Canis lupus familiaris: one gene and its partners. Each later gene encodes a partner of the first gene's protein in a complex. Links are inferred from orthologs where the notes say so. Each region holds a gene or a part of one and is shown on either strand. Other genes may lie near its edges.

Region 1 (2,990 bases):
CTCAAACTTTACCTGCAAAGCTCAAAACCTTGAAACAAAGGGAGAAACTGAGGCACTGCTGTCTGCAAGAGCCCGCAGTCATACTCTACAGAAGACAAGCCTCCACCTTGCTCAGCATCCCTTGCTTCTCCCCTCCTCAGCACCCGCACAAGGCAAGCAGCAACCAGTGGAGGGGTAGGGGTACTTTGCTCTCGTCCTGTCACTCTCCCAAAAGTCAACGGTTGTTCCTTTCTGCTGCTTCTGTTGGGGCATGTCAGACAGCACGCCAGTTGTCCCACCATTTCAGGCTCTCCCCTCCAGATCCAGCTTTATGTCTCATGTTTCTGTATATGGTGCACCTGTCCCATTCATTTAGCCCCCACCACCACCACTGTAAGTCCCCCTGAGTGTCCCTTATCTCAGCTGAGCCCCTAACCCTGTAGCTCATCAGAATGTTTTTGTCTGGATAGAACAGATCAGAAGCAAGCTTTGGTCACATCTGCCTTGACCCTGTCCGGGGAGATCTGTTCCTTGTGAACACAACTCTGAAACTTGGTAAGTCCCATATGAGCAAGGGCGTTCTGGACCTCAAAGGGGGATTTTATTTATTTTTATTTTTTATTTTCTGGTGTTTGGGTATTGATGGCTGATCCTCGGTTTTACCAGCACATGTGACACTTGCCAGTGACCCAGTGTGACTATGGCTTGGATGTTACCCTGAAGTTGTCAAATCATCCGGTACCACCCACCAACAAGGCTGAGGTTGGTCCTCTTCAAGCCCCAGCTGGACATACCAGAAGACTCCTTTGTAGTACACCAGTTGACTCTCCTGAATAGCCTTTATGTACTGCCTCAAACCTGAAGGCAAAGGGGCTGCAAATGACCCCGCCACAGTTCCAAATGTGACTCTGGAGCAACAGTTTTGAGTTTTCTCTACTGTAAAATGGGAGGGATCAACAGTCATCCTGGGTAACTGCCAAGGTGGGTCAGGTGAAAACAGTTTCCAGCAACAGAGCAAAGAGAGAAAAGGGTCCTTCCTTTTCCTGGGTCTCTCTTCCTCTCAGAACCATACCTTCCTTCCACCACCAATTCAATGGTGACACATGCCAATGGAGGGCAATTTTTCATCCCAGTTCATCCCAGAAATGTGACTCTTGGGAGAAGTTCTCTAGGATGCTGCTTGGTATATGACAGGGAGCGCAGAGGTTGGCCAAAAGGGTAGGCAGTGCCAGTCACACCCTCCACCCTGGAAGCTTGTTCAAAACCCAGCAGCACAGGGAGTGGGGGGCAGAAAAATCAGGTTCCACTGATTTTTTCCCCTCTGGCCTATCAGCCCCTCCCCCACCCTAGTGGTCTATCCCTCATGGAGAGAAGCTACAAAGAACCCCCAACATCTAGCTGAGAAGGTAAGCTGCCCTTCTTAAGAAACTAAGGGCCCCAACGTATATAATATGTTGTCAGGTTGAAGAAGGGAGAAGAGAGTAGCAATCCAATTGGAATCTAGAAATTGGTGGGATGGAAGGTAAACAGGAGAGCTGATTGGAACAGAACAGAACAAAGGCTCTGACTGGTTGGTCCAGCCCCCAGCACTCTCCTCAGAGCCTGCCCTTCCCCACCATGCAGAACTCACACACTCCCTTTGCAAAGAAGCTCTGTGTATTGGGTGCAACAGCTCTGGGGTCTCTATATAAATAATATACAAAACCCAACAGCTCAATGCCTCACATTAACAAAAATACTAAAAACTTATTAAAAATGGAGCCTGAGGGAAGAGCCCCAACCACTACTGGTGCTAGCCCAAGAAGGGGACTGGGAATTAATAGGAAGGGGTGGGGCTACATCCAGGCAGTTCTTCCAGATGGCTCAGTAGCGTCCAAATATGTTGGTACTGGGCTGTGGCTGGGTATCTGTGGAAAACCAGAGGTCATCAGGGCTGGGAGACCAGGCAAGGATATAGGTATGTAGGAGAAAGGCTATTTGAGTACCAAAGTAAGGGACAGGATGCCATGCTTCACACCCATCACCCCACCCCAACCTGGGCCTGAAGCGGTCACCTGCCCTCCCCGCCCCCCCACCACCATGTAGTCCCTGGGGCTCTCCCTAGAGAGGAAAGCAGGCTTACTAGAAAGCTGTTGTTGGAGCTGCCGGACCAAAGCTGCTGTCTGTTGCTGTTGCTGTGTCTGCTGAAGCCCCTGGCGCTGGAACTGAGGTGGAAACCGGAAGTGGAAGACTGATCTCGAACTTTCCGCTTCCTTTTTCATCCTCATCTCCTGACTCCCTTTTTGGAGTGCCCCACCTTGCCTCCCACCTCTACTCACCCCCCCACTGCCCCCAAAATGCTGTGCCCAACCTGGGCAACTGTCCCTGAGCCAGGGGCTATGGCCCAGCAGCTACCTGGGGCTGGGACTGGGGCTGGGGCTGGGGAGGAGCTGCCTGCTGCTGCTGCTGGTGTGCCTGCTGTTGTTGTTGCTGCTGCTGCTGCTGCTGCTGTTGCTGCTGCTGCTGCTGCTACAAACAAGGGCAGTGAGCCTCAGACATGGTGGTGGCTCTGGGGAGGGGAACTGGTCCACTGTCCCCCTTAATAGCGCAAGACTCCCAGGGAGATCCCACTGACCACCCCAGAAGCCAGTGGCGGGGGTGGGGGGGGACACAGGGGGGAGGGTAGGAACTTCTCAGGCCCCTACTGCGTGCTTGGGGTGCTCCAGGGAGTGGGTGCCGGCTTCACTCGGTTCACCATCATGTCAAACCCTGGAAGAGCACCTGCCTCTCCCCCTCCGGGGGTGCCCAGGTCCCACTTGAAGGCCTGGGGCCTCACCCGCAAAATCTGCTGCTGTTGCTGCTGTCGGATGTGATACTGCTGTTGTTGCTGCTGCTGCTGCTGCTGCTGCTGCTGCTGCTGTTGCTGCTGTTGCTGCTGCTGCTGCTGCTGTTGCTGCTGTTGCTGCTGCTGCTGCTGCTCAGGCAGGATGGACGCCGATCGCACGCCGGCCTGGACGCCCTGCGCACCCAGA
Region 2 (3,203 bases), on another chromosome or scaffold:
GAATTAAGCAGGGAGGTGGTATATGATTTTCCAAGTTGTCTTTCTGCAAAGAAACTGACAATACCACTTGATGGGATCCACAGGCAGGCAACAGAGCAGTCTTGGTTGTCAGATCTTAGACTGTATCCTGGGTCTACCCCCAGCTCAACAGGTAAATATGTGAAAGTTCTTCTCTGAGCATCTCTGATATGACAATAACCCTTACTCACAGAGTTCCCATAATGATCAAAGGAAATAATGTAAGTTTCATGCTTAGTAAAAAAGCTGGCATAGTAAACACCCAACAAACTCTTATTATTAGTTATCACCAGCACCACCACCACCACTTAGTAAATGCTTACTGCATACTATGAACACTACTAATAATTTTGATGATAATGATAATAAAAATGATAAAAAGTGGTAACATCTGTTAAGCACTATGGCATGCTAGCCACTGTGCCTTAGCGTACGTCCTCTCATTTAATCCTTGCTACCACCTCACACTTGCCATCATCACTTCTACAAATGAGAAAACTGAGAACATCTGAATTACTTTACTCAAGGTTACCCAAAGTCAGTGGCTAGGCTGGGATCTGAAAGTCTGTGTTTTTTTTTAAAGATGCTATTCATTTACTTGAGAGAGAGCAAGCAAGAGAGAACATGAGCAGAGGGGAGAGGGAGAGGGAGAAGCAGGATCCTTGTTGAGCACAGAACCTGATACGGGCTCAATCCCAGGACCCTGGAATCATGACCTGAGCCAAAGGCAGAAGCTTAACAGACCAAGCCACCCAGATGCCCCTGAAAGCCTTAGATGTAGCTTTCTTAATCATTCTTAATCATTCTTGATATACCTGTTGTTTCAAAACAATGCACAATACTGATTGAGCTCCTACTATAAGTCAGGTGCTAGGACTTATCATGTCTATTCCTATAACAACTACAAGCAAGGCTTGGCTAGTCTCATTTTACAGGTGAAAAGGCCAGGAAATTTTATTTGTCCAAGGTCACACAGTTCATAAATGGCATAATTTATAAGTCTGATCATTCCAGGTCTGTTTAGTTCAAAAGTCGGCCCCCTGTCCGGTACCACAGTCAGTACTCTGCTGTGCCAATAACAACTCACATCACTATATTTTCCCCGGGGACATGAAGGTCAGCATTTTCTTAGGTCACAAACCCATCTACAAATACTGATATGGCCAGTCAATACACAATGAACTGGAAATACCTGATAGTCTGAGGTCATGATGAGTCCACCTGAGGTAGTGGTAGGAGGAACAACTCTCACTTTTTTCAATGGGGGTCCCTGTGTATGACTGCTGTCTTGATTCCCTGGGTGACCGGTTCCATTAGTATGGTTATTGCCCTGCTGCTGCTGCTGGTTCTTCTCAATTGGTTAAACAGAAAAATAAAGTTCAACTCAGAAGGAGAACCAAATACAAACAAGAAAATGTTACACGGTAGATGGAATAAAACAAGCAGCAGCCAAATGTACTTTAATACTTACTTTGTCTCCTTTGTCATCGGGTTCTTCTTCTGTTAAAAATTCTCGTTTTGGGTAAGGGATTTGACAACCGGCAAAAACGCTGCTCACAACAAAAAAAGAAAATTTCTAGTATGCTAATCAGTATCTCAGATGCTTCATTTTAATCTTTTAAGATGGACTTTGTGTCCTTATTTGTAAAATAAGCACCCTTCATGCAACTGTGCCAAAATGAATCTTTTCTTCTAACTAGGGACATTGTAGCAGACCATGGGAAGGATTTTCATTGTGTGAAAATAATCAATAATCATCGAATATGACTCAACTTTCTTTTATCCCAGACTCACTCTTTTATTGTTACAATCCAAATATAGATTCCAGTGGAAATGTCACTATTTGAACACAATTTTTTTTTTTACTCTCCCTTCTACACATAAGAGATGACATGGGGAACACAAATTTATTTGGGAATGGGATTTTGTAATTAAAACACAAAACTGTAACTGTAAGCAGTGGGCCATCTCAGTGAGTCTGAGTGAGCTACAGCATGCATAATTAACCTGTCACTGAATAATTGGGGCACGGCTGAAAATAAAGCTGGTAATGTTTCATAAAGTAAGACATGAACAGGAATGCCTTTTCACTGTAAAAGCCCTAAATGACACCTCAGTCATCAGAGCTCATGTCACTGGGATTTCCCTAGGTCCCCATGTAATGCGAGTGGCAACTTGGAGTTGACAACTCAAACAAGCCCACTCCAGAAAATTCTATCATGCTGGTGAGTTAATAAACTGATCACTTACTCTGATGTAGGAAGTGGATCTTCTAAGAAATAGGGATCCTGCATAGCCTGTTCTGAGGTAATTCGCTTTATTGGGTCCATAGTAAGTAACTTCTGAAGCTGAAATCATAAATCATAAAAACATTGTGTTATTTCTTATAGTTATATCCTTGGCCATATGTGGGATGTACATGTTTTTTGATGAAACACTACAATTTGAGCGGTATTTATTCCCCCAAATTAACAAGAGAAAAACTGGATTATTACATTTAACATAGTAATTCACATTTAGTAATTCTAATAATCATGATCTTACTTGGTTCTAAGAAGTAAACAAAACCTTTACCTTATTCTAAACCAATGATCTACATTATGCAAATTGTTTTGTCCAATTTAGAACAAGACTAAACTCTTATATTTTCTATTCTTTTTCTATAAAGGGAAAAAAACTATTATAACACAAATAATAGAGTAGTCACATGTGACTATTTAGATTTAAAACCAAATTAAACTTAAAAAAATCAATTTCTCAATCATATCAGGTACATTTCTAGAGCTCAAGAGCCACATGTGGCTAGGAGTTATCCTATTGCACAGCACAGATCATCAGAGAAAGCTCTCCTGGCCAGTGTTATCCCTGTCTAAATAAATATGGTGCTTGATACAGAACTTGTGAAGTACAGAGGGGTTATGAATGGAGACTTGAAGACCTTTATTATCTGAGTGACTTTGGACAAGTTGCTTAATCTCTTTGCAACCTCATTTGTCAAATGGAGATTAAAAATAGTGCCAGCTACCATAGGTTTGTTTTCAGAATTAAATGAGTTAATATATGGAAAGCAATTCTAAAGGTACCTGACACAAAGAAAGCACTATGTATTATTATTATTTTGCTACCTATAAAAATGTCACACTAATGTGAAAATTCAGTATTTTTTTGGTTAAAACAGTTTATTT
Region 3 (2,885 bases), on another chromosome or scaffold:
GAAAGGTGTTAATTATAGATTAAACAAAAAAAGAGGGATGCCTGGGTGGCTCAGTGGTTGGGCGTCTGCCTTCAGCCCAGGGCATGATCCTGGAGACCTGGAATGGAGTCCGGCATTGGGCTCCCTGCATGGAGCCTGGTCCTCCCTCTGCCTCTGCCTGTGTCTCTGCCTCTCTCTCTGTGTGTCTCTCATGAATAAATAAATATTAAAAAATAAATAAAGAAAAGTTTTTCAGTGAACGTGCTACTTTGGTTAAAGGTAAAAACTATTACCTTTATCAGGATTCAAACTAAAAACTGTCATTTTTTGGGATGCCTGGATGGCTCAGTGGTTGAGCATCTGCCTTTGGCCCAGGGCAATCTGGAGTCCCAGGATTGAGTCCCACATCGGGCTCCCTGCATGGAGCATGCTTCTCCCTCTGCCTATGGTGCCTCTCCCTCTGTGTCTCTCATGAATAAATAAATAAAATCTTAAAAAAAAAAAAAAACTGTCATTTTTTTTGGTTCCAATTGGTAGTGAATCCACCCCGAATTAGCAGGGTAATAAAGAATTGGAATCACAGATGCTTCTCTTCATAGCCTTTATTACCCCACAATACAAGCTCACAGTCTCTATAAACCTTACACACAAATAGCAAAACAATTAAAAGATTTTTCTTTCTGAAAGCTAATTTATTCTAGTTTCCTCTCTTTATACAAAGGGACTAGATAGACTTCTCATGTTATCCTGAGCCTTTAATTTGGAAAGGCTGTCACAAAAGTGAACTTGTCACGTGAGGAAAACAGTGTAAAGACCCAACTAAGTTCTTACTGTCCTCCTAAGAATGCCTGGCTGGTAGTAATGAAATGGGGCATTTGTAACATCTTCTCTTTTATAACAGGTGAGGATAGGCCCCAGTGGCGGTCAGACTGTCTTAGTCACATGAGCCTTTTGGGGTCTATTTTCTCTAGGTGAACCAGAGGTTTCAGCTGCTCGGCAAAGTTCCTCATGTCATCAGAGACCATGTCCTGCCCAGCTGGTGCAACAACACTCAGTTCCACAAGATAGGAAAGTGACAAGGCCTCAGTGCTGTCTGTGTTTCCTGGTACCAGGATGCGGAAGATCTTGTATACCATAATCTTCATGATACCCTTACGGAACAAGTGACCCTTGGCAACAAACTCATGGTCCATGCGGAAGCCCATTTCCATCAAGAAGTCAGTGAGGTTCTCAGATGTTGCAATGTCCACACAATTTCGCACCAGGGCATGGCGGTTCTTGTCTCCCATTTCCGGTTGTCCCAGGTAGCGTAGATGCCAGGGTGCCCCGCCCCTATCCATAGAACGCCGAGCCCTTAGAACAAATGGACTAGCCTGCTGGCCCTTAAGGAGGAACACCATTTCATGGTCAAGGAAAGTCTCAGGTTCCATGTTGTCACACAAACCACGAAGGCGATGGATGAGGCTTTCCAAACTGTGATCTAAAACACTTCCTGAAGAACAAAAGAGCATTGTTGAGTCCCATCTTTCATTTGGAGTACTGGGATTAGCAAAAGACTGAAAAAATTTAAATGAAAAACCGAAACAGTTTATTGCAGTGTTTTGTAGAGCACAGGTCCAATATATGAGATTTCAGAGGGGTTATGCTGCCAAGGTATTAGATAACACTATGAGAAACTTAATCCCCTTTCAGTTTTTTGCATTGTCTTATTTGGTACTAGAAAGCCTTTAGGCCTTCCCTAAATGGTAATTGCCAGTGGGCTCTGGGCTCAGAGGCTTTAACAACGAGAATAATAGTACTCTTGTCATTTATTTAAAAAATTATCTTTTATTTCTAGCAACACAAGTTTTCGATCTATAGATTATAACATTTCCTTTTTTTGTAAAATATTTAAGTAAAAGAAAATGAAGTGCTCCATAAAAATAGACTGATCTTTGTTCTCATCTTATTCATCCTCCTAGCAGCATCTGACATGGTTGTTAGATTATACCCACCTTGAATCTATTCTTCCCTTGGCCTCTGGGACACAACTCTTAGTTCTTTACCTAACTCACTGACCATTCCTTTTAAGTCTACTTTGCTGGATCTTTCTCACCTTCCCTAAATACTAAAGGATCCTAGGACTCAATCCTGGTCCTCTTTTTAACAATCTCTTCCTCTCAAGGTGACCTAATTTGGTGCTATGGTTTTAAATGCCACTTATGCCCTGAGGCCTCCCATGTTTAACTCATGAACTATAGACTCATATAGCCAACTGTCTACTCAGTTTCTCCACGTGGATACCTAACAGATATCTTCATCTTCATATGTTGAGTATCCAATTGTTGGCTTTTCCTTCACAATCTTATTCCTCTTGCAGTCTTTCCCATCATAGTGAATGGAAGCTCTCTGCTTCTAGTTCCCCAGGCTCCAAACCACAGAATCATCCTGATTCCTTTCTTTCCCCCATATCCTACACCCAATCCATATTTTAAAAATACATGCATAATCCAACCACTTCTCAGCCCCTCATTCATTTCCATCTAGTCCAAATCTCCTTTATTTCTTGCCTGCTTCTACCCTTCTCCCCATAACAGCCAAGTGGTCTTTTTAGAATATAAAGCAGATAATGATATTCTGCTCAGAATCCTCCAATGCCTTCCCTTGTCATTCAGAATAAATCCCAATGTCTTTATCATCATCTACAAGGCCCTATACATTGTGGTCCCTGCTACCAGTCCAACATCATTTCTTTCCACTATCTCCCTAGATCCTCTCACCAGCCACAGTGATCTTCCTGTTATTTCCTAAAATTGCCAAGTATTTGATAAAGTATTTCTATTCAGAACCTCTTCCCTTAGCCCCTACACTTAGAAAAATTTTCTCACTGGTATCTGCATGCCAAACCTGAATACTTTCTTCAAGTC
Region 4 (3,574 bases), on another chromosome or scaffold:
GACTGAATAAATAATCAAACCGTTTATTTATCCAACAGATTTTACTGATTATTTTTCAAGTCTTTTACAATCTTAATGCCATTCTCTCTCTGCCCAAATTAACAGTTTGTCTTTCAAAATCTGATAAACCCTAAAGAACCAAAAACTATGCTATATTTAAAAATACAAATACTTAAAAATTTTAAGATTTTTTATAAAAATTTAAAGAATCGCATCATAGGCCAGGTCAAAGTGTCAAACTTGGAAAGCAATTAATTTGTTTTAAATAACAGAGATTGGAGAATCACCATTTAAGCATGATTTTATTAAGTGTATGCATTTCTATGTTATTTATTTTTTAAAGATTTTATTTATTTATTTATTCATGAGAGACAGAAAGAGAGAGAGAGGCAGAGACACAGGCAGAGGGAGAAGCAGGCTCCACGCAGAGAGCTTGATGTGGGACTCGATCCTGGGACCCCACGGTCACGCCCTGAACCAAAGGCAGATGCTCAACCACTGAGCCACCCAGGTGTCCCTCTATGTTATTTTCTTACATGGCTTCCAACTCATTTCATACAATAAGTTCAAGTCCACAGCAAAGGCAACTAACTTGCCAATCTACGTTGATAGAACCATTAACCCATTTATTTGGAAGCCTATGGTAAAAATTTTAAGCCATTTTTAAAAGAATATGCAACTGTGTTTGGTCCTGAGATGCAATGAAATCTAGAGGCCTTCACTTGACAAAAAAAAAATCTCTTATCCCAAACATACACCAAAAGAGACTTATGTATAAAATCATTTGAGAACTCTTTTCCAATATATTTGAACACTGAAGTCATTAACAATAAAAATTAAAAATAAAACCAGTGGCTAGAATAAGAAAGACTGGAAGTATCTAATGAAACTCATTTGACCACAGATACCCTCCGTATTACTAGGTAGCACTAACAGTTATAGATATGGCCAACATGTAGCTTACTTGATCTCTTAGAGACAAAAATATAGATAGAGAGGTGGGAGTCATAAAGTATCAGTAGATTCATCGTTTGAATCAAAATAAGACAATCTGAACATCACTGCTTCTACTACACCACTATGTAGCCTGATTATGTTCAGATTTAATAGATTAGAGTCCATTTTCAAAGACAAATGTATTTCCATTGTCAACACCGTACATGAGAGGACTTCACTGAGTTACTGGTAATGACACTGGCACCTGATTAGACTGAGGAGCTGGAGACCCACTATTTATGGCTTGTGGAGGCACTGCAGGTGGTTCCATCTTGCTAATGTGTGTGATGAATCGAAGACGAAGTTTTAAAGCTGGTTTTAAATTACAAATAATCTTCTCTACCTAAGAAATAAACACATTAAAAAGTATTTTAACCAGAGAATTTCAACCTCCCACCCTTAAAAAAGTGCTTTATACACATATGGAGGCAATAAACTAGGGAGTGGATGAGAAGTTTCTTTATGTGTTTTATGTTTTAACAAAAGCAAATAAAATCATTTCTCTCTTACATGAGGAAAAAAATTGTGTTCTCCCTCAAACACATTATGTATGTGCATATGAGTATGTACATATAGTCTATATATGTATCAACTTACAAAAACATACTCACTTACCTAGCCAGCCAGTCATCCCACTGTGAAAAGTTAATATAGCTTACACTAGAAATTAAAAAAAAATTTTTTTTAAATTTTATTTATGATAGTCATACAGAGAGAGAGAGAGGCAGAGACACAGGCAGAGGGAGAAGCAGGTTCCATGCACCAGGAGCCCGATGTGGGTGGGACTCGATCCTGAGTCTCCAGGATCGTGCCCTGGGCCAAAGGCAGGAGTCAAACCGCTGTGCCACCCAGGGATCCCCTACACTAGAAATTTTATGCATCCAACCAGCTCACCATCCTTTTCTTTTTCAAATATATATTTTTAAGATTTATCTATTTAGGGATGCCTGCATGGCTCAGCAATTGAGCATCTGCCTTTTGGCTCAGGTCGTGATCCTGAGATCTGAGGATCGAGTCCCACATCGGGCTCCCTGCATGGAGCCTGTTTCTCCCTCTGCCTATGTCTTTGCCTCTCTCTGCGTCTCTCATGAATAAATAAATAAATCTCTCTAAAAAAAAAAAAAGATATTTATTTATTTATTTACTTGTGAGAGAGAGCGAGCAAGTATAAGTGGGAGGGGCAGAGGGAGAGGAAGAATCTCAAGCAGACTCCGAGTTGAGCACGGAGCCTGACACAGGTCTCCATCTCATGACTGCAAGATCACAACCTAAGCTGAAACCAAGAGTCAGACACTTAACCAACTATACCACCCAGGCCCCCAGTTCACCACCCTTTTCAAATGCCATCATCACAGAAGCATGATTAAACTTTGAAGTTATATGAATAACTTATATCTGTAACATTTATCTATAAATTAATGTTTTGGTTTTGATTTATACTTGGAATTCAAACAAAATAATATTAGATCTACTTTTACTTAAAATATTTTAAAGAAATAAAAAACATCAAGCAGTTCCATGGTTTTCTTAGCTTTATTCAAATGTTCTTTGACCTTACCAGAAGAGATTGCCCAATAATTTTTCTTTTCTGTATTCCCTGTGTCAAAGTTTCTCAGGTCCAGATATAAAAGATATGCTAAATAAAACATTTCTGTATTGGTTCCCACTCAACTGTGACAATCTTGCTGAGGCAATAAGGGAGTCAATATCCTCCCCACCCCATGTCCCTAGCTCCAAGTCAAGAATCCAGTAGACTAGGATTCATAGGTTTAAATATCAGTTTACCTTCCTTTCCTACCAGAGAAAAAATTAACGTTAAGCTATGGAGGGGAGGTCATTTCACCTACCTGACCTACCTCTTCCCTCTGAAAGAGCCAAGCTTCTGTTTCCTATAGATAGGAAACTCAGTTATGATTCAAGGACATCCTTTCCATTTTCAGATCACTTTACTAGGAACTGGCTCTTTACATGCTGAGCAGAATGTGCCTCCCTTTAACTTTACTGGAGTTTATACGCCTTTTGAAGTGACACAGAACAAATCTAATGCCTATTCTGAATGGCAACCTTCCAAATAATGAGAACACGAACAATTCCCTAGGACTTTGAAAATTCAATCTAAGTACCTCCAGTTCCTTCAAATACCCTTTATGAATTATTCCCTTGATCTTCCTGGCTTCAGTCTTCAAGTCATGCTGCAATCTGTCCAATGTCCTCATAGTGCATACCCTAGTCACTGTGGCGAAAAGTAGAATCTCCTTCACTCATTACACAGCACCTCTCTGGTCTTTAAAAAGTAGCCATTCTGTATTGTTTCTTCCTAATGAGAGTACTATTTATCAACTACCTAGGTCTTTTCCAGATGTCCTGTTGCAAATATCAAGGGGAAAAGTATGAGAAATTATAACATGTATTCACTATTACTGGAATTACATATGTAGAATAATGTGCTCATAGCCTTAAAAAGGTCTGATAATATTAACCTTTTCCCCTTAAAAGAAAAAACATAACAAAAATACTCAAACAAAAGTATATCAACATATGTTCAAGTTTTCTAAAGTAAACATCATTAAAAGATAAA

Evidence for each region. The genes of interacting proteins can lie anywhere in the genome.
Region 2: the proteins of MED12 (region 1) and CDK8 are in contact, whole or in part, in a cryo-EM structure (PDB 8TQ2), measured with the Homo sapiens proteins. The link is inferred for Canis lupus familiaris from reciprocal best matches to the Homo sapiens genes MED12 and CDK8. Residues at the interface, in NP_005111.2 of Homo sapiens: Pro26, Gln27, Gln31, Glu33, Asp34, Leu36, Asn40, Val41, Lys42, Gln43, Gly44, Phe45, Asn47; in NP_001251.1 of Homo sapiens: His143, Ala144, Trp146, Phe180, Asn181, Ser182, Pro183, Pro186, Ala208, Arg209, His210, Thr212, Lys213, Met273, Pro274, Pro320.
Region 3: MED12 (region 1) and MED18 share a complex: the UniProt entries of both Homo sapiens proteins name them as parts of the mediator complex. The link is inferred for Canis lupus familiaris from reciprocal best matches to the Homo sapiens genes MED12 and MED18.
Region 4: MED12 (region 1) and MED23 share a complex: the UniProt entries of both Homo sapiens proteins name them as parts of the mediator complex. The link is inferred for Canis lupus familiaris from reciprocal best matches to the Homo sapiens genes MED12 and MED23.

What each region holds. Positions count from the first base shown.
Region 1 is NC_049260.1:55,703,253-55,706,242, reverse strand, and holds the end of MED12 (mediator of RNA polymerase II transcription subunit 12), read right to left. Parts: coding exon 2,795-2,990; coding exon of another isoform or gene 2,660-2,794; exon of another isoform or gene 2,638-2,659; intron 2,488-2,637; coding exon 2,374-2,487; intron 2,184-2,373; coding exon 2,102-2,183; intron 1,887-2,101; coding exon 1,843-1,886; 3' UTR 575-1,842; downstream 1-574. UniProt on the Homo sapiens protein: Component of the Mediator complex, a coactivator involved in the regulated transcription of nearly all RNA polymerase II-dependent genes.
Region 2 is NC_049246.1:13,124,103-13,127,305, forward strand, and holds part of CDK8 (cyclin-dependent kinase 8), read right to left. Parts: intron 2,367-3,203; coding exon 2,269-2,366; intron 1,569-2,268; coding exon 1,490-1,568; intron 1,370-1,489; coding exon 1,211-1,369; intron 1-1,210.
Region 3 is NC_049223.1:71,505,583-71,508,467, forward strand, and holds the end of MED18 (mediator of RNA polymerase II transcription subunit 18), read right to left. Parts: intron 1,472-2,885; coding exon 918-1,471; 3' UTR 567-917; downstream 1-566. UniProt on the Homo sapiens protein: Component of the Mediator complex, a coactivator involved in the regulated transcription of nearly all RNA polymerase II-dependent genes.
Region 4 is NC_049233.1:379,056-382,629, reverse strand, and holds part of MED23 (mediator of RNA polymerase II transcription subunit 23), read right to left. Parts: intron 1,340-3,574; coding exon 1,172-1,339; 3' UTR 1-1,171. UniProt on the Homo sapiens protein: Required for transcriptional activation subsequent to the assembly of the pre-initiation complex. Component of the Mediator complex, a coactivator involved in the regulated transcription of nearly all RNA polymerase II-dependent genes.